Lonchura striata: one gene and its partners. The protein of the gene in region 2 binds, or shares a complex with, the protein of the main gene of each other region. Links are inferred from orthologs where the notes say so. Each region holds a gene or a part of one and is shown on either strand. Other genes may lie near its edges.

Region 1 (7,197 bases), on a different chromosome or scaffold from region 2:
AAGTTCTCAGAAGGATATGAGAAGAAAGATCCTGTTACATATTTATCCTATCCTACACCTGAAAACAAATACAATAAACCAAAGGCCTCACAGGGAGTTCTGCAGCCCTGTGCTTTAAACAAACCCAAAAGATAGGATATTAAGATTGTACCGTTTTGAACAGAAAGAATCAACTCGTAATAAGATCAGTGCTTTTAGATTTTTCTTTGGGATGATATGAGACAGAATTATTCCAAAATCTATGAGGAGAAAGGATGACAGTGAATGACAATCATATCTGTGATTCCTATTTTTCTGTCTAAGAAATTATTCTTATATTCTTATTCTAAGAAATTATTCATATATTTTCTTGAATTGGAATAGGATTTAGTGGAAAAAACTAACAGCATCTGCTGAAGATCTCAATGAAGAGCACCACATTATGACCTTTTTAAAATATTACAAAGGAAAAAATGAAAAGCCCATGAGAAACCTTGACAGAAAATTAGTAAAGCCCTGGAAATCTAGAAGACACAGATGAATCTAAATATTTATAGAGTGTGGAAAAGAAAAGTTCAAGGGGGAAGCAAAAAGGGGGTTGGGGCGTAGGTAGAAAACAGACACTGAAAGAAGAAGTGATGCTAAATACTGAACTTTGAAGAGAGTTTAAAAAGTAAATTCTAAGGCTAGAGTACCAACTAAGTACCAAATATAATACACAAACTAAGGGAAGCAGTGAAGCTTTATTGATGATCTATTTAACCACAACCTCCTCCAGAAAAGCAATCAAGAATTTTTCAAGGGAGATCCAAAAAGGAGGATCCTCATATTAAGACATGGTCACGCATCCTCCATTGTTGGAGGTTTCAAAAGGAAATTAATAAAATAATTGGAGTACCTTGGACAGTCAAAAAGTCATGTGAATATTTGTGCTCCCTTATGCTCCAAAGACATGAAGACAATTTTAATCAGCATACTCATTTTAGCTGGTGACATAAAATTTCCAGAGATATTGGCAACAGCTGAAAACTGCTGCAAGAGAACTGTGAATTGGTGGTGAAAAACTAAAGGATGAAAGAAACCCCAACCATTTTAAATCCAAATAGCTCATGGCACATTAAAATAAATTACTGATTGCAGATGGCAGAATCAACACAACCAAATCAACTGAAAAAGAAACACTGTAAGTGAATACTAAAGTGAATAGTTTTTTGTTAAAGTGTTCAGATTTAAGGAAAAATGGGAAGGAGACTTTAATCAGAGGCAATCTGGTAATAAAGTTGTCATCCATACAGGAACACAAATGAAAGGAATAGCAAATTTCTTGGGGAAAGATTCAAGGATGTTTTGGAGACAAACTCTGTAAGCTTATTATATACAACATGATGGTGAGTTTAATAGTTGCTACATTAAATCAGTTCATGCCTCTGTGCACACAGAGGTCAACTGATCCACTTTATCCTGGCACAGGTACTGCCAGGAAAATACCCATTAGAAAGCTTAAGAAATAACTTGACAATTCCATTTATGGCAGCAAGCAAAAGATGTTGAGAAGAGTTCAGCTATATCTTAACACCAGACAGATTGAAGGTGAGTGGAAAACCCCTCAATGCAAATTATTATTTCTATTATTATGCAATATATATATAATATGAGAATGAGCTTTCAATACTAGATTTCAGGGGATTTGTTTTGTTGTTCCTCCCTGTTCTCTCCACACTTCCTTTCAAGAGAGCAATCTACCCCTATTCTAAAGCATTCAGTGATAGAAAGAACAATCAAGTAAAATTAAACATGGACCAAAGAACAAGTGGACAGCCCAAACTTTTAAATGGATGAAGAAATTCTAGTGAAACACAATTCTGCTACGTTTGTACATAAACTCTTATTCATCATATACCAATACTCTTTCATGGGTTGAAATTTAACAATGCAATATTTCAGCAACACGAAATTAATATTTGTTTAGAATTAATTACACAAATACTAATAATTTATTCTTTAAAAATGGTATGTGGAACAACCAAATCTCAAAAAATCAGTTGGCTTATAAACATTCATATTTCAGATTCCACCACTTTTTCAGCCTATATTCCCTCAAGTGCCACTTGAACTTATTTTCTACAGCAATTACTCCCACATATCAGACAAATAGTTTAGTTTCTGTCCCTTTGTCACATGATTTCTGCACTTGTAAGAGACTTATGACTCCAGGAGTGATAAACGTATACACTGGCTCACTTACACGATTCTGAGTGTAGCACAGGAAGTCTTCAATTGTCTCTTTAGACACAACTTGCAAAAATGCTTCGCGTTTCATCCTGGAATTGGTCTTCCCTACTTTATAACCAAAACATAATGTTAGAGAAGGTACTGTACACCAAAACAAGATCATTTTGGTCTGTTGTAGTCATCTATCAGTTATATACATAGCATTAATTTATATATGTTATATATTACAGTAGTTATACATGCACTACATAGTTAAAGCAGTTTTCCCCTCCAACATATTTTAGTTATCTAAATCAGGATTTAGATTCACAACATCACTAGGCTGCAGGGCTTGTTTTCTTTTTCGTGGTGGTTTTTTTTTTTAGTAAATAAGTCTTAAAGCAGAATAAATTGCTAATGAATACTCTGATTTTTAAAAAGCACAATGCATTCTTAAGCACAAAACCGCTATTTAAACTGGTTATCAGTCCCAACAACAGTATTTATTTATATAAGAAGCACTAAGGGGTAGTAAAGAAAAAGAGAAGTAATTTCGTCTATCAAGAGAAAACCATGGGAAATGGACAAGGCCACCAAGAGCCTTATTTGCGCACGTTAACATTGCCTCCATGCTAGGTGTCTCCCGACGTGCTTTCCCAGGTGGGAAAGTGACTTACACAGCATCAAGTCACATCACAGACCGGGGCGGGGGCCGCTCCCGGGCCCCGTCCCGGGGCACCCGGGGGCTCGGCCAGGCCGGGCCGAGCAGGCAGCGGAGAGCCGGACGTGCCGCTTACCTGGGGCTCCCTCGGAGCGGCCGAACCCTCACGGATCCGCGGGACGCCTCAGCCGAGCGAAGAGCCCGCGGCGCACGGCAGCAGCGCCGGAGGAGACACCGGCCCCGGGAGCCGCTCGGAGGGGACACCCGGGGACACCCCGAGGCTCCGGGGACGCTCCGGGACCCTGCTGGACGCCCCGAGGCTCCGGGACGCTCCGGGACCCTGCTGGACACCCCGAGGCTCCGGGGACGCTCCGGGACCCTGCTGGACACCCCGAGGCTCCGGGGGCGCTCCGGGCCCCGCCCGGCCCTTCCCTCACCCGCCACTTTTCGAATCCTCCCGCGGCCGGCGTTGAGCGCGCGCCGCGGAACTCCCGTCCCGTCTCGCGAGAACTCGGCCGCAGCCCCCGCCCCTTCCCGCGCTGAGGGCGGCTGGGGGAAAGGAGGCCGTGAGGGGGCGCAGGGTTCCAAACTCGGGGACGCACGGTTCCAAACTCGGGGACGCACACGGTGAGCTGGGCTGGAAAAGGCTCCTGAGGTCACCGAGTCCAGCCGATGACCCAACATCACCAGGTCAACTAGACCATGGCACTGAGTGCCACCTCCAGTCTTTCCTAGACACCTTCAGGGAGGGCGCCTCCAGCACCTCCCTGCGCAGCCCATTCCAATCGGCCTTTCTGTAAAGAAATTCCTCCTAATGTTCGACCTGAACCTCCTTTGGTGCAGCTTTTAACATTTTAATAATAATAAAATGGTTATAAAATAATAATATAATTAGAGTAATAAAGTTTAGAGTTAGGATAATTATAAGACAATAAAAAGCAAAGAATTACAGACCTTAGGATGCTCTTGGACACTAAGTCACGAAAAGCATACCTTGTGAACAAAGGAATAACCTTAAAAGCAATAGCCTGTTGCATATTCATATATCTCATACATGATGCATAAATTTTTTGCAAATTAAGAACTTTGGGTTTTGTCAACTTCTCCTTAATTTTGTTGGTTCTACAAAGATGGAGAGAAGGTGGAAGTTTCTGACTTTTTATGGGCCCTGCTCGCTGACATCTCTATGTGAAGAGTTTCTTGATTATCTCCCTGCTTGAGCTTGTAACAAATCTTATATCGCAGAGTTTCTATTTTAAGATTATGCTGTAACTTAAAACTACATTTAACACACTACATAAGAAAATGAATACAGCATAACTTTCTAACATTACACATATTTATTGTAACATTTGCGAAAAGCCAATCATAAAATTTTTTCATATCCCAGCAGCTTTGGCCACGCTGAAAGCTCCTTCCTCTGCTGCTTTCTGACCCAGGCTGGCTGGAGGCACGGTGACATCCATCACTTACCCAGAGGCAGCTGCCATCGTTCAAACCCACCGCCCCGCTCACTGTTGCCTTTCTGTACCTGCCTGCAAAGCGTCAGTGCTTCCAAATGGGGGTAAGACATGATCAGTTAAATTCATTTTCATGCTTAGGAAACAGAATTCCTTCCTCCATGGATCTCTGGTAACGTGGACATAAATGCTTTTATAGAACATCATGCATATGATTACACTGGTGGCTTTTTTCTCCAATAATGTTATTGTTGCTATTGCTGACAGCTATGCTTTTCCTCACAGTCCTGGTGAACAATATGAGTACTTTGCACTCTTCATCCAAAAGCAATCAAGAGTTAAACAGCCTATATGCGAGAATGTACAGAATATATGCCAGATTATGTAAACCAGATAATATTTAGAGTTTGATAACTAAGGATTTTTTTAATGTATCAGGAAATTATATCTTCTGTTTCTTCTTTGCAGTGTTTGGAAATAGAGTTAGATTTTGAATTCTATAATATTCCCCATTCCATTTATTTGAGATCTTCTGCAAACCAAAACAGTCAAAGTGTATTGTTAAGGGCTTAGTTTGTATCTTTCCACTTGGCATTTTCAGTAGTGTTGGCTGTTCAGAAGAGAGCAGTACATAACTGAAGCAATTTACTTCCAGTCTGTAGAAGCAGTACAGAATGTGCTGCTCTACTGTGCAAACAAACAGAAACCCAACTATAATTTCCATAGAAGTTATCATATCTGGTTGGACTTTTCAGGACTGTAATTTTAAAATATATTATGTAACTCAGAATTTATTTCATATTAAAGATAAAAATTCACTCCTTTAAAAGTAGCATTTACATATTCTGCTGTTTTAATTTTTAACATAGATTCTTCCTTAATGATCCTGCCTTTCACAGTTTTAGTTTACATTAAAAAATAAGATTTTTTGCATTTTCTAGCACATTTATTTGATAAAAGAAGCTGGCTTTTTCACATCCTGTGGACCTGACTTTATATCCCAAGTTACATATTCAGCTAAGTGCAAGGAGCCTGTGAAACAGTTTGCTTGGAATAAGTTGGATGGGCAATCAGCATACCTGTAGAATTATAAAAACAAATTAAAAAGTATAACCCCTAAAATTTATACATTATGCTAATGTATGCTTATATTAAAAATTTTCTGCATATATTAAAAATCTTTGCCATTTTAGATACAAACTGATGGATTTATTATCATGACTCATGTAGGCTGAATATTTCATTAATACCTTGATTTGTCTTTTAATTAGATGCCACTTTAGTCACCTGGTTACTGTTTATTTAGTTGGGCACGTATCATTTTAGCAAACAAAATAAAACATATTTTAGTTTTTAACTTCTGTTGCATAGCAACCACAGAATGGTTTGTTTCACAGTATTGAAACTAGAAGTTGACACAGATAACAACAGGCTGAATAACACCAAGTGATTCATTTTAATGGACCATATAGAGAAACCAGAGAGACAGAATAATGTTTTCTAGGTTTTTTTCAAGAACTGTGCATGAACTGCAAGCCAGTAATAAACCTACAACTCTATTTTCAGTTTCTCTAATATTCTCCCTTTCAAGATTACCAAATTACATACCTCTCTTTGACATATCTGTTCATCTGTTCAAAATAATCTATACACTGTGATAATAATCTCATATTTATTATCATTTTCCTGTCAAGTTAAGGCAAAAATGAAAAATGGGCCTTTCGCACATGGTTGCTGAGCAACAGCAAATAAAGATTTGCTTTTGTGCTACTGCTTCATGAACCAGTCTTTATTCTTGTTGGTGGTCTGCATTACAGATCTCGGTTACAGATGGCTCACACCAGAATATTGTTTGGACTAGAGCAAGCATTCCATTTCAACCCATAAGAGTCAACAATATAAATAAAAAATAAACAGGTAGTTCCCTGTACGTCAGCTACTTTCTTGACAATATTTTCTTATATTTACAATGTTATTTTGTAGATAATATTTTCTTATGAGATTATTTCACACGTTATCTACTACCATGTTGGAGTTGTAACTTCTTTTTCTTTGAATATGTAATAAAACTTGTTATAGTTAAAACAGTATGAACAAAATCTGCTCATCCTCTGAGGCAGGCTGTTAATAATTTACATGCATGCGTTTCCCTTGATTTTTTTTTTTTTTTTTGATCTTCACATACTTTGATAAATAATCTGAACAGCATGGGAGAGAGATGAAGTTTCACACTATTCCACTTCTCTCCAGATCTCTCCTTGCCTGAAGGTAATCCTGCCAATCATGCCATCCTTTATTCAGAGGCAACTGTCACTTCTCAATGCTGGTGTGATTAGACCGTGAAAAGGCTTATTTCCCTTAAATTATTAATATTAACATGAATCAATTTTAGAGTTTAAGAGATTAAGTAGGGAAAAAAATCACTGCAGAAGAAAAAAAAACGTATCCTTGTTAACTCACATAAAAATAAGGAAACAAAATGCGCAGAGGGAAAGCAAAAGCTGCTGGGGAGAGCCACTCCCTGGAGCCGCTGCCGACGGAGCCGCAGTCCTGAGCTGCCGCCCCGCGGGAGCTCCCCGCTACTGCCGGGCTCTGCCAGGAGCCACACCCAGTCAGTTTAAACCAGGAAAACACTGCAACTTGCATCTCGTTGCTTTGTTGTGATGCTTTGTGACAAAATACTTAGTCATTACATCTTGAAGGGGGCTGGAGGATGGAGACGGGCTGAGAGAGCTGGGGGTGTTCAGCCCGGAGGCCTGAAGCCTCTGGAGAAACTTTAGAGCACCTTTCAGTGCCTAAAGGGTTTACAAGAGAGGAGAGGGAATTTTTGTAAGAGCATGGAATGGCTTTAAACTGACAGAGGGCAGGTTTAGATTAAATACTGAG
Region 2 (7,620 bases):
ACTGCACCACTGACCAACACCCGAACCCCCAAACCTGACCAACACCTGAGCCCCCCAAACACCTGAACCCCCAAACCCCCTCACCTGTGATCCCCCCCAGACCTGAACCCCCAAACCCCCTCACCTGTGAGCCCAAGACCTGAACTCCCAAACCTGCACACCTCACTAACACCTGAGCCTCCCAAACCTGCACCACTGACCAACACCCAAACTCCCAAAACTGCATCCCTCCCCTGTGAGCCCCCAACACCTGATCCCCCCAGACCTGCACGCCTCACTAACACCTGAACCCCAAACCCCTCACCTGTGAGCCCCCACCAGGTGGGGCAGCGGCTGCTGAGCTTCACCACGCCCGAGGCGAACATGAGGCGGAAGAGGAGCCAGCGCACGGCCCAGAAGGTGACGCCGTCGTGGGGTCTCCAGGCCGGGGACCCCCAGCGCAGCAGGCGCAGGGGGGCCACCAGCACGGCCAGGAACCCGGCCTCCAGCAGCAGGCTGTCCCTGGCCGTGGGGGACAGCGCTGGGACCCCCGGCCTGCACCCCACGCGGGGCTGGGGACACGGCTGTGCCCCACTTGTGGGGCTGGGGACATGGCCACGTCCTGTATGTGGGGCTGGGGACACAGCTGTGTCCCACTTGTGGGGCTGGGGACACAGTCACGCCCTGTATGTGGGGCTGGGGACATGGCCGTGCCCTGTATGTGGGGCTGGGGACACAGCCACGTCCCGCTCGTGGGGATGGGGACACAGTCACGCCCTGTATGTGGGGCTGGGGACATGGCTGTGCCCTGTATGTGGGGCTGGGCACACAGCCACGTCCCACTCGTGGGGATGGGGACACAGTCACGCCCTGTATGTGGGGCTGGGGACATGGCTGTGCCCTGTATGTGGGGCTGGGCACACAGCCACGTCCCACTTGTGGGGATGGGGACACAGCCACGTCCCGCTCATGGGGATGGGGACACATTCATGCCCTGTATGTGGGGCTGGGGACATGGCTGTGCCCTGTATGTGGGGCTGGGCACACAGCCACGTCCCACTTGTGGGGATGGGGACACAGCCATGTGCCGCTCGTGGGGATGGGGACACGGTCACCATCTAAATGCGGGGCTGAGGACACAGCCACACATCACATGTGGGGCTGGGGACACGGCCATGCCCTGTCTGTGGGGCTGGGGACATGGTCATGATCTATATATGGGGCTGGGGACATGGCCATCCCCTTTATGTGGGGCCGGGGACAAGGCCATACAATGAAAGAGGGGCTGGGGACAGGGCCATCCTCTGTATATGGGGCTGGGGACATGGCCATGTCCTGTATGTGGGGCTGGGGACACGGCTACATCCCACTCGTGGGGCTGGGGACATGGCCACACAGCAAAAGTGGGGCTGGGGACACGGCCACACATCACATGTGGGGCTGGGGACACAGTCATGCCATGCTTGTGGGGCTCCCCACCCTGATGTGCCTCAGTCCCCAAAGTCCCCCACAGCCCCCATCCTTGTCCCCACAGCCCCTGTCCTTGTCCCCAGAGCCCCCCACCCCACTGTGCCCCCACCCCAATCCCCAGAGCCCCCCCCACCCCTCACTTTGGTCCCCAGAGGTCCCCACCCCACTGTGGAGCCCCTTGTCCTGGTCCCCAGAGCCCCTCGTGTCCCCCACCCCACTGGGACCCTGTCCCACTCCCCAGACCCCTCTGTGCCCCCCATCCTGGTCCCCAGAGCCCCCCACCCCACTCCAGCACCCTCTGTGCCCCCCACCCCTCTGTGCCCCCCACCCTGGGGTCCCGGGGTGGTTCCCCAGCCCCGAGCCCCCCAAAATCCCTGGGGAGGGGGCTGGACTCACCACTGGAAGTACAGGAAGACCTGTCCCACCTGCGGAGAGGGAGCGGGCGGGGGGCTCAGATGGGGGGGTCTGACACCCCCAGACCCTTCCCCACGGGAGAGACCCCCGGGGCCCCCCTGGCACGGGAATCTGGGCCAAGGAGCAGAGGGAGGTGACAGCCAGCCCTGGGAGGTGACAGCCGCCCCTGGGAGGGATGGCCTCACACAGATCATTTATCCTTCCTTAATTTCCTGATTTCAGAGGGAAGTGAAACCTCCTCCCCCCACACCCGGCTCTGACCCACTGGAGCTCCAGCCCCAGGGAGGGTCCAGGGAATCCTGAGACGGTTTGGATGGGAAGGGACCCAAATCTCCTACAGTGCCACCCCTGCCATGGCAGGGACACCTCCCACTGTCCCAGGCTGCTCCAGCCCCAGTGTCCAGCCTGGCCTTGGACATTCCAGGGATCCAGGGGCAGCCCCAGCTGCTCTGGCAATCCCAGCCCAGCCAGGAATTCCTCATTCCCAATCTCCCATCCATGGCTGCCCTCTGGCAGTGGGAGCCATTCCCTGGGTCCTGTCCCTCCATCCTTGTCCCCAGCCCCTCTGCAGCTCCAGGCCGGGCTGGGTGGCCTCGGGCACGGCAGGAGGTGTCCCTGCCCGCGGGGGCTGGACCGGGCTGGGATTCACAGCCCCTTCCCACCCCAACCATTGCCTGGCTCCATCGCTGTGCCTCCCTCAGCACACCAGGAGCGGGCAGGACGAGCCAGCGCCCCGCTGTCCCTGCTGTCCTCACTGTCCCCTGGCTGTCCCCACTATCCCCTGCTGTCTCCCCTATCCCCTCTGTCCCCTCTGTCCCTGCTGTCCCCACTGTTCCTGCTGTCCCTGGGTGTCCTGGCTGTCCTCGCTGTCCTCACTGTCCCCCCCTATCCCTGCTGTCCCCTCTGTCCCCTGGCTGTCCCCACTGTCTCCTGCTGTCTCTACTGTCCCCCCTGTCCTTGCTGTCCCCTGGCTGTCCCTGCTGTCCCCTGGGCTGTCCCCGCTGTCCCCTGGCTGTCCCCCCTGTCCCCTCTCTCCTCACTGTCCCCTGGGCTGTCCCCCCTGTCCCCTCTCTCCTCACTGTCCCCGCTGTCCCCTGGGCTGTCCCCGCTGTCCCCTGGCTGTCCCCGCTGTCCCCTCTCTCCTCACTGTCCCCGCTGTCCCCACTGTCCCCTCTCTCCTCACTGTCCCCGCTGTCCCCTGGCTGTCCCCTCTCTCCTCACTGTCCCTGCTGTCCCCTGGGCTGTCCCCGCTGTCCCCCCTGTCCCCTCTCTCCTCACTGTCCCCCCTGTCCCCTGGCTGTCCCCCCACCTGGTACAGCGACAGGTAGAAGGCGGCGAGCGTGGCGAAGAGCAGGCAGTCCCGCAGCGCGTCGCAGAGCAGCGCCCCGAGGGCGCCCAGCGTGCCCAGCAGGCACAGCAGCTCCATGGCCTGCTCCGTGTCCAGCCCCAGGCGCGGGCCCAGCCACAGCAGCGTGGGCACGTCCCGCAGCTGCTGCCACAGCCCCCGGCCCGCCGGCCGCAGCACGCGCCGCGCCGGCAGCAGCCCCCGGCGCCCGTACAGCCCTGCCGCGGCGCCACGTTTACCCAGCGCGGGGTAAAAGCAGGGCTACAACTCCCCGCGGCAGCCCCTCGGGGCTGGGGGGTCTCAGGGGGGGCCTTTCCATAATTTATTTCCCAAAAATGGAACCTAATTCGGGGTTAACCCCAGATTTCCCCACTATCCCGGTTCCCCCGGCCGCACTCCCCGCCCCATCCCGGTTCCCCCGTCCCTATCCCCAGCCCTATCCCGGTCCCCCATCCCTGCCCCGGCTCTGTCCCGGTTCCTCCATCCCTATGCCGGCTCTGCTCCGGTTCTCCAATCCCTATCCCAGTTCCCCCACCCCTATCCCGGTTCCCCCGGCCCCTCTCCCATCCTTGTCCCGGTTCCCCCATCCCTATCCCGTTTCTCCCGGGGTTCTCCCGGCCCCACTCCCGGCTCTGCTCCGGTTCCCCCATCCCCATCCCGGTTCCCCCAGCCCCACTCCCGGCTCTGTCCCGGTTCTCCCGGTCCCACTCCCATCCCTATCCCGGTTCCCCCAGCCCCACTCCCGGCTCTGTTCCGGTTCCCCCGGCCCCACTCCCATCCCTATCCCGGTTCCCCCGGATCCACTCCCGGCTCTATCCCGGTTCCCCCGGCCCCACTCCCGTCCCTATCCCGGTTCCCCCGTCCCTGTCCCGGTTCTCCCTGCCCCACTCCCGTCCCTATCCCAGTTCTCCGGCCCCACTCCCGTCCCTATCCCGGTTCTCCCGTCCCTGTCCCGGTTCTCCCTGCCCCACTCCCGTCCCTATCCCAGTTCTCCGGCCCCACTCCCGTCCCTATCCCGGTTCTCCCGTCCCTATCCCGGTTCCCCGGCCCCACTCCCGTCCCTATCCCGGTTCCCCGGCCCCACTCCCGTCCCTATCCCGGTTCCCCCGTCCCTATCCCGGTTCCCCCGGCCGCACTCCCGGCTCTGTCCCTGTTCCCCCGTCCCTGCCCGGTTCCCCCGGCCCCTTGCCCGTTCCCCGCGGCGGTACCGGGGATCTGCACGTAGAGCGAGCCGAAGGCGGCGATGTAGACCGCGGCCAGCCCGGCCAGGAACAGCGCCCGCGGCCGCGCCAGCTCCGCCGCGGCGGCCATGGCGGCGCGGGCCCGGCGGCGCGCACCGTGACGTCAGCGGCGCCGTGACGTCAGCGGCGCGCGGGGCGCGTCACGGAGCGCGGGAAGGACGAAAATGGCGGCGGCGGCCGGGGGATGAGGAGGGGCCGGTGAGGGGCGGGACCGGGGACGGGCACCGGGACCGGGGACGGGCACCGGGACCGGGGACGGGCACCGGGACCGGGGACGGGCACCGGGACCGGGGACGGGCACCGGGACCGGGGACGGGCACCGGGACCGGGGACGGGCACCGGGACCGGGGACGGGCACCGGGACCGGGGACGGGCACCGGGATCGGGGACGGGCACCGGGACCGGGGACGGGCACCGGGATCGGGGACGGGCACCGGGACCGGGGTTGGGATGGGGACGGGGACCGGGGATGGGATGGGCACCGGGACCGGGGTTGGGATGGGCACCGGGACCGGGGATGGGATGGGCACCGGGATCGGGGACGGGCACCGGGAGCGGGGTTGGGATGGGGACGGGGACCGGGGATGGGATGGAGACGGGGATCGGGGATGGGCACCGGGACCGGGGATGGGATGGGCACCGGGAGCGGGGTTGGGATGGGGACGGGGACCGGGGTTGGGATGGGGACGGGGACCGGGGATGGGCACCGGGACCGGGGATGGGATGGGGACGGGGACCGGGGATGGGATGGGCACCGGGACCGGGGATGGGGATGGGATCGGGGACGGGCACCGGGAGCGGGGTTGGGATGGGCACCGGGACCGGGGATGGGATGGAGACGGGGATCGGGGATGGGCACCGGGACCGGGGATGGGATGGGGACGGGGACCGGGGATGGGCACCGGGACCGGGGATGGGATGGAGACGGGGATCGGGGATGGGCACCGGGACCGGGGATGGGCACCGGGACCGGGGATGGGATGGGGACGGGGACCGGGGATGGGCACCAGGACCGGGGATGGGATGGAGACGGGGATCGGAGATGGGGATGGGCACCGGGACCGGGATCTGGATGGGGACCGGGACCGGGATCGGGGTTGGGGTTTGGATGGGGACCGGGATCGGGGTTGGGGTTTGGATGGGGATCGGGATCGGGGTTTGGATGGGGTCCGGAATCAGGGTCATGATTGGAATTGAGGTTTGGGTGGGGATCAGGGTCACAGTCGGGTTTGATCTTTGGATGGGGACTGGGTTTGGGATCGGGATCATGGTCGGGATTGAGGTTTGGATGGGCACTGGGATTGGGATCAGGATCACATTGGGATCAAGGTTTGGATGGGGACCTGGGACCAGGGTCAGGATCCAGTCAGGATTGAGGTTTGGATAGGGATTGGGATCAGGGTGGTGGTTGGGATCAAAGTTTGGATGGGGACCGGTAGTGGGATCAGGATCATGGTTGGGATTGAGGTTTGGATGGGCACTGGGACTGGGATCAGTCAGGATTGAGGTTTGGATAGGGATCGGGATCAGGGTCGTGGTCGGGATTGAGGTTTGGATGGGGGCCTGGATCGGGATCATGGTTGGAATTGAGGTTTGGATGGGGATCAGGATCAGGATCACAGTCAGGATTGAGGTTTTGCTAGGGACTGAGATCAGGGTCACGGTCGGGATTGATGTCAAGAGTGCAATTGGGGTAGGGATCAAGATGGGAATTGGGGTCAGGGTCTGCATGGGGATCGGGATCAGGATTGAGATTGGAATTGAAGTTGGGGCTGGGATTGGGGTTGACGTTGGGATCAGGACTGGGGCAGAGTTAGGGGTGGGAATTGGGGTTGGGGTCTGCATGGGGATTGGGGTTGGGATCAAGATTGGAAATGAAGTTTGGGTTGGGATCGGGGTTGAGGTTGGGATCATGGACCGGGGCAGAGTTAGGGATGGGAATTGGGGTCGGGGTCTGCATGGGGATGGGATTGGGGTAAGGATCAGGGTGGGGACCGGGATCGGGGTTGGGATTGGGCTCCAGATTGGGATTGAGTTTCAGGTCGGGCTCAGGGTAGAGACTGGAGTTAGGCTCAGGATCAGGTCAGGATTGGGATCACGGTCAGGGTGAGAATCAGGGTCAGGGCTGGGATTGGGGTCACAATCAGGATCAAAGTCAGGCCCAGGCTTGGCAGTGGGATTGGGGTGGGGCTTTTCCAGCCCAAACAATTCCCTGTAGCCTGAGCTGTCTCCCCGTTCCCACGCAGCCGAGCCGTGATTCCTGCAGAGCTTCCCCAGGACACTCATTCCAGGGAGCAGCTCCCAGCCGCCTCTGGGCTCTCTGCAGGGGGATCCCACCATGGAAGAGGTGGATTCCCGCTTCCTGCACCTGCTGCAGCCCATCCGGGACCTCACCAAGAACTGGGAGGTGGATGTGGCTGCCCAGCTCGGGGAGTACCTGGAGGAGGTAACGGGGACACCCCCAGAGCTCCTCGTGTCCCCTGCCCTCCTTTGCCCTCTCCTTTTCTCCCTCCTTTTCTTCCTCCTTTTCCCTCTCCTTTTATCCCTCCGTTTCTCCCTCTTTTTATTCCTCCTTTTCCCTCTCCTTTTTACTCCTTTTCTTCCTTTTGTCTCTCTTCCTCTTCTTTTCTCCCTCTTTTTATTCCTCCTTTTCTTCCTTTTATCCCTCTTTTTCCCCCTCATTTTCTTTCCTTTTTCTTCCTCTCTTTCCCCCTCCTTTTATCCCTCCTTTTCCCTCTCCTTTTATACCTCCTTTTCTCCCTCTTTTTATTCCTACTTTTCCCTCCTTTTCTTCCTTTTCTCCCTCTCCCCCTTCTTTTCTCCCTCTTTTTATTCCTCCTTTTCTTCCCTTTATCCCTCTTTTTCTCTCTCATTTTTTTTCCTTTTTCTTCCTTTTCTTCCTCTCTTTCCCCCTCCTTTTATCCCTCCTTTTCTCTCTTTTTTCCTTTTTTTATTTCTTTTATTCCTCTTTCCCCTTCTATTTCTTCCTCTTTTTATCCCTCCTTTTCTTCATTTTTTCCTTCCTTTTCCTCCTCCTTTTCTCTCCTTTTTCCTCCTTTTATCTATCCTTTTCTTCCTCTCTTCCCCCTCCTTTTTCCTCCTCTTCTTCCTTTTCTTCCTCTGATTCCTCCTCCTTTTATCCCTCCTTTTCTTCCTTTTCTCCTTCCCTTT
Region 3 (7,565 bases), on a different chromosome or scaffold from region 2:
AATAAATCCTCTGTTTTATTATTCCTTGCAAATATTTCAGGGATTTGCCTAGTCCCTTACAGTCCTCCCAATTTGTCAACTTTCTTTTGATAATTTTGACTTAAGAAGGTACATATCTCAACCTCATTCAAGGTGCTGTCTAACATGGGAGCACAAATAATAGCAAATAAAACCCACCATTTTATAATATTTATAAAAGCAATACCTAGCTGTTAAGAAGAAAAAAAAATAAAATGGGAATATATTTCGGAAAAGTTTTGCTAACATGAGGGCCGCATGAGGTCTTGTGCTACAAGATGTGTTTTAGGGTCAAACTATGCTGTACTGGAAATATTAATGACTTAACAGACTTCATTTTTTCTTGGTAAAATGACACTCTAATTAGGAATTAATTATTTTCCTACTATCTCCCCATCTTAAATTTAGTACAAGTCCTACTCTTTCTGGATTTTATAAAGATGCACACAATACCTGCATAATGAGGAAATGAGGATTATTGACATTCAGTCCAATGGAACAGAATAAATCCTGCACACGACTGTTGGCAGCATTCACACCATTGATAAGATACTTACTTCTACCTCCTACAGCAACCTAGAGAACAAAGACAAAAAAACTGCTTGGTGTTGTGAGAATATAAACTGCAATAAAGAACAAAAAAATCTGAGCAAATCACACTTGTTATATTTTTGCATATGTATGTATGTACAAACTGTGCAGAACATCAAAACAGAACTTGTTTGACATCGAAAATATTTAACTAAAATATAAGATTAGTCATTGAGGAAAATACTGTCAAGAAACCTTCCAAAAACTCTACGTTAAAAAAAAATAATCAAAAAGTAATCAAAACCCAAAACCCAACATCTTCACCAGAAAAATAAAGGTTCCTTCGCTATTGGAGGCCAAATTTAACACAGAGTTCAGATATTAAGAAGAAAGATATGAAAGCAGTAAAAGCCGCAAGGTAGAAAATTTTAACTTGCTTTATGAACATTTCTAGCTCGTACACTGGTACAGTTTTTCTAACTAACTACACTATAAAAGCAACATAGAAACCTTGCCTCTACTGCAGAAACTCAGAAAATCACCCCCTTTTTCCCTGCCCACTCATGAGCATGGTAAAAATGTAAATAGGTTATGAAAAAATACAGATATTAAAGGCTTACCTGCCTAGTCACAGTGATCTCATCATTAGCTTCAAATCCCAGTGGACTTTGACTTTTGTTTGAATTATCAAAGTTAATAGACACAGTTGCTTTTGTAATTCCAGCTTGCCCACTCTTATAAATTAGATCATGGAAGTTGCAAGCTCGCACCTAAGTTCAGGGAACAGATAAATACTTTTTTGAAAGAAATTAACATTTTAATTGTAATACTGTAGGTCTTGGAGAAATCAATATAAAAACCAAAGATCTAGCTGCATATTTGAGTTCATGTGAACTGGCACACGGGAGCTGCAAGGTGCTATCATTGTGAAACTACAGTGTGTGCCAGTCTAGTTTTACTTATCCAGATAACTGTTTCTGCATGAGGCTCCTGAAAAACACTGAATACATCTGTAAAAAAAGCCAGCTGACAGTAAATTTATTTAACAAACACTTATTTTTCACAATGCAGTTCACAGGAAAATGATTCAGAAAATGTTCCTTAGAGGGCTGCCTGCTTTGTCAACAGCTGGGGGAAGGTAGGGATGGGAAAGAAAGCAAATTTAAAAATCATCTTCAGACAGAGATTGAAACTGATGTCAAAGCACATATATTTTAGTAAAAATAAAGCAGATATATTATCACTTAAATAATAAGCATTGTATGAAAATCACTTTTAAATCTTTTTCTGATGAACCAGGTAGCCAGATTTTAAGACTTAATCCAGAACTGAAAACATTTATTACAAATTAGTAAATTAGTGCCTGTAGATGCAAAAAGGACCTTTAGCTTGAAGCTGTTAGCTTTTAAGTGGTTATTTTTAGTCTATATTGTTTTAAGCCACATACTTGTGTAACTGTGGTACGTGGATGAAGTTGTAACTCAACATAAGGCTGAGCAACAATGATAGAGACCCAGATTAATGCAATGAAATATCGAAATAATGAAAATATTTCTTTCAAAGACACACCATGTCAGGTCTTCCGTGGGAGGTTACTCACTAGAGTAACGTTAAAAGTTGCTAACAGAAGAAAGACTTTTCTTAAATGTCCTATCTCTTTACCTGTGACAGATTGCTGATTCCCAGCACAAAACAGATGGAGTCCAAGATATTGGATTTGCCACTACCATTCAAGCCAGTAATGGCATTGAATAGCGGGTCAAAGTTACTAATTTCCGTCCTCTGAGCATAGGATTTAAAACCTTCAAGAACAATTGACTTAATGTACATCTTCCCAATGCTCCCAAAAGGTATTCCAGGCCAAGTATTCCTCTGAGCACTGAGAAAGGTATCCGGAGTATAATCCTATACACATCAAAGAAAAAAAATAATCAAATGAATGATACTGCCAAACAAACAACTAGACCCGAGGAAATGAAAGAACGCATGCCTTTTACAACAAAAGTATAATACATTTATAAACTAAAAAAGCCAAGTAAACCACAGATCCAGGCAGTATCCCAACTGCACTTCGGCATTTCTAAGGGACTTTACGCACAGTTTATCAGAACACTCGGCTATAGACTCGCGGCAAAGCCACGGTTTGTCGCAAAGCGACACGGCGCGGTCTCCCTCTCCCGCTTGCGGAATTGCCGTACCTGTCCAGCCTCACCGCCCGCGAGGGACGAATCCCGGGAAGCGGCAGCCCGGGCTCCGAGCGAGGACCCAGCAGAGCCCCATCCCCACCGCTGCCGCCCGCGGCCCTGCTCCAGCGAGCCCTCCCTGCCGCCTCTGGCGCCGCATCGGCCGTGCGAGGCCTGCTTCCCTTCCCGGCCCCTCGCCCGCTCACCCCCGTGCAGGGCTGTCCCTCGATGCCAGCGCCTCACTCGCTCCTCCGCACCCGCTCCGCGCCGCCCGCCACGATCAAATTTTGGCGCCGACCGCTGCGACCGTTAGGGGCGGCGCCTGATGGCGGCCACGCCGCGCCCTCAGCGCGGCCGGCCCGCCCCACCCCGGCGGAGCGGGCGCAGCGGGGGCGCCTGGCCGGTGCCGGGGGCGCCTGGCCGGTGCCGGGGGCGCCTGGCCGGTGCCGGGGGCGCCTGGCCGGTGCCGGGGGCGCCTGGCCGGGAGGGACGGCGCGCACCGGGCGCAGAAAGGCGGGCGCGGCTAGGAAAGGGCTCCTCCGGCTCTGACGGGGGCGGAAAGTGGCGGGTGGCGGCCCATGGCGGGGAGGACGGCCGGGCGCCCGTGAGGGAGATGGGGGTGGGCGGGAAGGCGCTTGGTAAGTTCGTGGTGAGTTCTGCAGCGCGGCTGAGGAGCTTGAGCGTTAGCTCCGGGCTGCGGCGGGAAGTGGCTTTGTCCTCCCTGAAATTACATCAAAATCAAAGAAGTGCTGTTCTATACTTCCTACACGCATTCCTACTATGCCACCCCTAACCCACTCCCTCCTCCCCAAAGAATAAAAAAAAAAAACCCAAGCGCTATTTATGCCTGTTCAAATCTATTATTGTAATTTATACAGACATGCTTCCATTCGAGCAGAATAAGGAGAGCTTGTTCAAAACGTGAGTACGTGTCATTGGAAGAAAGGTAGCTGTCTGTCCATTGCTGCGCTGCTCAAAGCAGGAAGGCAAAGTCGGCTGGATGCATTTACTCGTTTCTGAGCTTGCTTTTGTCGTGCTGTGTAGGTAGACCAGGACTTTGCAGCTGCACAGCGTTACTGTTGAGGTCTGCTGTAAAACTTTGTGCCCTGGACTACTGAGTTTGATGTTATTTCAGTAATTCGAAATAATTCAGACTGAAGGTCTACATTGCATTAGGGAAGAAAAATATAGTGCATTTGCTTGCTGCACGAATTATATTGGATGCAGCTGTTTAAGGCATTAGCGTGACAGCACTGCTGCTGGAGCTACTGTAGCCAGAAGTACTTGATGGTCCCTTATCTGCAGTTCACTTGCTTACATCTGGAACCTATATTGGGAAAAACTATTTTTAATTTGGACAAGAGTCAGATTGATACTGTGTAACTATGCAGCCCACTCTTTATTTAGCAAACTGAAAATGCTCCCAAATTATTTTTGAATTTACCTTCTGTGGCAAACATACTGGAGTGTTTCTTGCCTGCAGGAAAGTTCCTGGTTTGTTTCTGTTAGAGGTGGCTGCTTGGACTACACTGAAGGTGGCACCTGGTTGTTCTTCAAATGGCCAAAGTCCTTCTCAATGTGTGGTTGATGGAGCTGGCAGCTGGGGACCTAGTACTGTACCTGCTCCGCCTGCTCCTTTTCCATCCAGATTAACCACAGCCTGAAATAAGGAAATAGTAATAAAGCAGAACCAATTCTGATGTGAGAGGCTTCATCATAGGAAGACAGCCATGTTTGTCCCCATTTACATATGATGTGGGAAAGAAAAATAATTTCTTAAGTATTAAGAAATAAGTTCTTAAGTAGATCTGTAATAGCTTTGATGTCACAAGGCTTAAATTTGAGTGCTTCATTTTAAGGAATATAAATCCGGTTGTAGATATTTAACATGCAGTTAGCACCTTGGAGCGAATATAACACATGGTTTGAGCAAGGAAAATATATTTTTAGCAGCTGGCTATCTAGGAATGGTTTTATTATTGTTATAAGAACTTTATCGAACTTCAGGGAAGCAAAATTCCAGCTGTTCAATGTGCTAGTCAGTAGAATCCTGTGCAAAACTGCCTTTTTTACAAGAGGTGACATATTTTTCAGGACACCTTCCATAGAACACAAGAGCTAGTGATGCCCAGTCACAAGAAATTGGGTAAGGAAGGCAAGAAATCAGCATGAGTGAGTCAAACAAAAAGGCAAGAGGGACATGCGGAGGCAGTGGAAGCAGACACAGATATCTGGGAAGAATACAGGGAGTCTGATTATGTAGGGATGGGCTGAGGAAGGCCAGGGGGCATCTGGAGCTGAACTTGACAAGGAATGCTAAGAATAACAACAAGGGTTTCTACAGGTATGTTACTTTGACAGAAGAAGTCAAAGAAAGTGTACACACACATACCACTGTGGGAAATGCAAGGCTGGCAAACAGGTAGCAGTGAATGAGAAAACTGAGGTACTCAACAAATTTTTTGCCTGTCTTCAATGGCAAACCACCTCTCTTCCCACACCCTTCAACAGGACTGGAGTAGCAAAGTGTTTCCTGCTGTAAGTGAAGGTCTAGTGGTGGGATTGCATCTGTGAAAAATGCCATCCTAGGAGTCCCAGTGTCATGATAAAGAAGCTATCTTTCAGTGACATATGACACCTGACAGATCTGCCTCTTGCCAGTGATCAACACTGATCAAATGAATGATACTGATCAAATGAATGATGACTGTGAATTCTGACTGAGATATTTCCTATGTTCTGTAAATCTGAGTGTTCATCTAGCCCTACCTCAGAGACAAACTGGTGAGTTAAACTTGTCCCTAAATTGGAGGATGTCCAACAGAGGACAAAGTCCAGTTGGCAGCCCACTATTAGCCATAATTTTTGATATCTTTATGAAAGATGTAGACAGTCATGACCTGGAAGAGCAGAATCTTTTCCCCACTACCCTGAACTTGGATCCAACTGCATCCAGTGTTCTCAGTTCCCTAGTAGAAGAAAGTCACTGACACACATGAACAAATCCAGAGTAGGGTCACCAAGATGATGAAGGAAAATCAAGAGAGAAATGGCTTTGTTCAGTTTCCAGAAACAAAAGCTATTGTTTCTGCTGCCTTCTTTAGCTGCTTAGCAAGACAGTTTTAAGAGAATGGAACCCACCTCATCTGAGGGGAATGCATGGTAAGAGATGATAAATGTTGTTTGCTAAACAGTATTTTCCAGTGGCGCATGGAGAGTCCTGAGATTTCCCCCTGCCAAGCCATGTCAAGGTCAGATATTAGAACAGGTTGCCTGAAGAGATTGTGAAATCTTTATCTTTCAAAAGTAATACAGCTTCGCATGTCTGTGTACAATCTGATCTGTACTTCCACTCTTAAAATTTGTTTCCTTGGACTCTTGTTGACATACCTCTTCTGTTATGAACAAAACAGCCTGGCTGGGACACTTGGCTCGACCTAAGTACTGACATTGAAATGTTAATTAGCTAATCGCCCCTGGGAATCACCTACACCCCCACCCAAACTAGGACTAGGATGCAAAATAAGCCAGTGGAATCATGGGAGGGGGTTTTGGGGATGAAAAACACCCCAAAATGAAAAAGAGGGGCACAGTGGAGGGGGCTGGATGGGTGTGTTGGTTGGGGAAAAGGGACCCCATCCCTAGTCTATGTTTAACCTGTCACTATAACCTGCAGAGGATCAGATTGGACTGGGCTGTGGGAAGCAGGCACAAGGAATCAGACACTCTACCTGGTGTTACCAGGAGGGAAGGAGAGGGATAGCTGCTGCGGGATCTCAGCAGCAGGCTCTGCACATCCCCCCACCCTTCGGCTACCAGTGTGCCAGGAGAAAAAGAGAGAGGACGCTCTGCTGATCGGGACTTCAGATACAGACTGGACACCTCTTCACCTCTGGCTACCAGTGTGCCACGGAGACTCCAGGGACAGACTCTGTACGCCTTCTCGCCCTTCAGCTACCGGAAGAAGCTACAAACACCCCCCCTGCCGAGCTGACTTTTTAATAAAGAGTTGAACACTAATAAAGGCATAAAACCTGTTCATTTCATCTTCTTTTTTTCCTCATGTCCCTTTAATTTTTAATTTATCTGTCTTTTAAATATTATAAGATAAAAGGTAACAGATACCAGATCAGATGTATGTATATGCTAAGCAGGCCGGAGCAGCGGGTTTCTGTCTTGAGGGAGAAGTTGGTTGTGCATGTTTCAAGCAGGAACTTGTTCAGTGATGAAGCTACCCTTGTTATATTACAGAAATTGAAAGCATCAGCTCGAATTTTGTCACTTCCCTTCTGAGTTCACTTAGTCATGATGTTGCAAGAGATCTGTACACTGCAAGGGGGTGTTTAACATTTGTAGAAATCTATGCTTTTAAGAACCCAAAGCTTTCTTTGGCAGTTGTAAAATCAAGCAGATTAAACATTTCTCTCTGTGGGGCAGTACTGGCCTGTTGTTGCAAATCTAAGAAGTGAAACTGGGCTACATGGGGTGTCTCTACAGTTTTGGTAAAATTTTGCATTTACTGATGCTACAACATATGTTTCAACATTTAAGTAAGGCAGAAGTAATAAAAGTGCCTAAAAGGAAATTTAGGGTGCCATGCAGTGACTAGGAAAGCACAGCAGGCCCTTTAAGAAACTTCAGCTTTTTTTGTCAGCCCACATCAACTGCTGTGCCCCACAGAACTGCTAAAATTGGAAAAAATACCTTTTAGATCATCAAGTCCAACCTAGCATCACCATGTTCACCAGTAAATGAATGTAGTTTGTCCATGTAGTAGACATGGTCTCAAGTACCATATCCAGATGTTTTTTGAACACTTCCAGGTATGGTGAT

What was found. Proteins that work in one complex are often made in the same cells at the same time.
Region 1: the proteins of NCAPH2 (region 2) and NCAPG2 are in contact, whole or in part, in a cryo-EM structure (PDB 9F5W), measured with the Homo sapiens proteins. The link is inferred for Lonchura striata from reciprocal best matches to the Homo sapiens genes NCAPH2 and NCAPG2. Residues at the interface, in NP_689512.2 of Homo sapiens: Pro316, Trp317, Gln318, Ser319, Leu320, Pro322, Phe323, Asp324, Ser325, Leu326, Glu327, Ser328, Lys329, Pro330, Phe331, Lys332, Lys333, Gly334, Arg335, Pro336, Tyr337, Ser338, Val339, Glu344, Gln360, Asp361, Phe362, Gln364, Trp365, Tyr366; in NP_001268861.1 of Homo sapiens: Lys248, Leu251, Gln252, His292, Ile294, His295, Leu296, Pro297, Arg299, Ser300, Val302, Lys340, Ala341, Arg342, Asn343, Ser344, Glu345, Val346, Pro388, Tyr389, Pro390, Arg393, Gly425, Glu426, Ala428, Phe429, Asp430, Thr431, Ser432, Arg437.
Region 3: the proteins of NCAPH2 (region 2) and SMC2 are in contact, whole or in part, in a cryo-EM structure (PDB 9F5W), measured with the Homo sapiens proteins. The link is inferred for Lonchura striata from reciprocal best matches to the Homo sapiens genes NCAPH2 and SMC2. Residues at the interface, in NP_689512.2 of Homo sapiens: Glu46, Phe53, Ile54, Glu55, Leu58, Leu59, Gly62, Ser63, Ala64, Cys65, Val66, Lys69, Tyr73; in NP_001036015.1 of Homo sapiens: Leu93, Thr125, Gln128, Asp129, Cys132, Gly135, Leu136, Asn137, Met173, Tyr174, Lys177, Lys178.

What each region holds. Positions count from the first base shown.
Region 1 is NC_134603.1:147,495,839-147,503,035, reverse strand, and holds the start of NCAPG2 (condensin-2 complex subunit G2), read right to left. Parts: upstream 3,042-7,197; 5' UTR 2,988-3,041; intron 2,320-2,987; 5' UTR 2,300-2,319; coding exon 2,225-2,299; intron 1-2,224. UniProt on the Homo sapiens protein: Regulatory subunit of the condensin-2 complex, a complex which establishes mitotic chromosome architecture and is involved in physical rigidity of the chromatid axis.
Region 2 is NC_134607.1:72,683,278-72,690,897, reverse strand, and holds the start of NCAPH2 (condensin-2 complex subunit H2), read left to right. Parts: upstream 1-4,592; 5' UTR 4,593-4,647; intron 4,648-6,695; 5' UTR 6,696-6,787; coding exon 6,788-6,895; intron 6,896-7,620. Other genes in the region: LMF2 (lipase maturation factor 2), read right to left, coding at 305-501, 1,846-1,874, 3,173-3,426, 4,417-4,519. UniProt on the Homo sapiens protein: Regulatory subunit of the condensin-2 complex, a complex that seems to provide chromosomes with an additional level of organization and rigidity and in establishing mitotic chromosome architecture.
Region 3 is NC_134642.1:61,416,360-61,423,924, reverse strand, and holds the start of SMC2 (structural maintenance of chromosomes protein 2), read right to left. Parts: upstream 3,042-7,565; 5' UTR 2,939-3,041; intron 2,455-2,938; 5' UTR 2,380-2,454; coding exon 2,212-2,379; intron 1,320-2,211; coding exon 1,170-1,319; intron 595-1,169; coding exon 472-594; intron 1-471. UniProt on the Homo sapiens protein: Central component of the condensin complex, a complex required for conversion of interphase chromatin into mitotic-like condense chromosomes.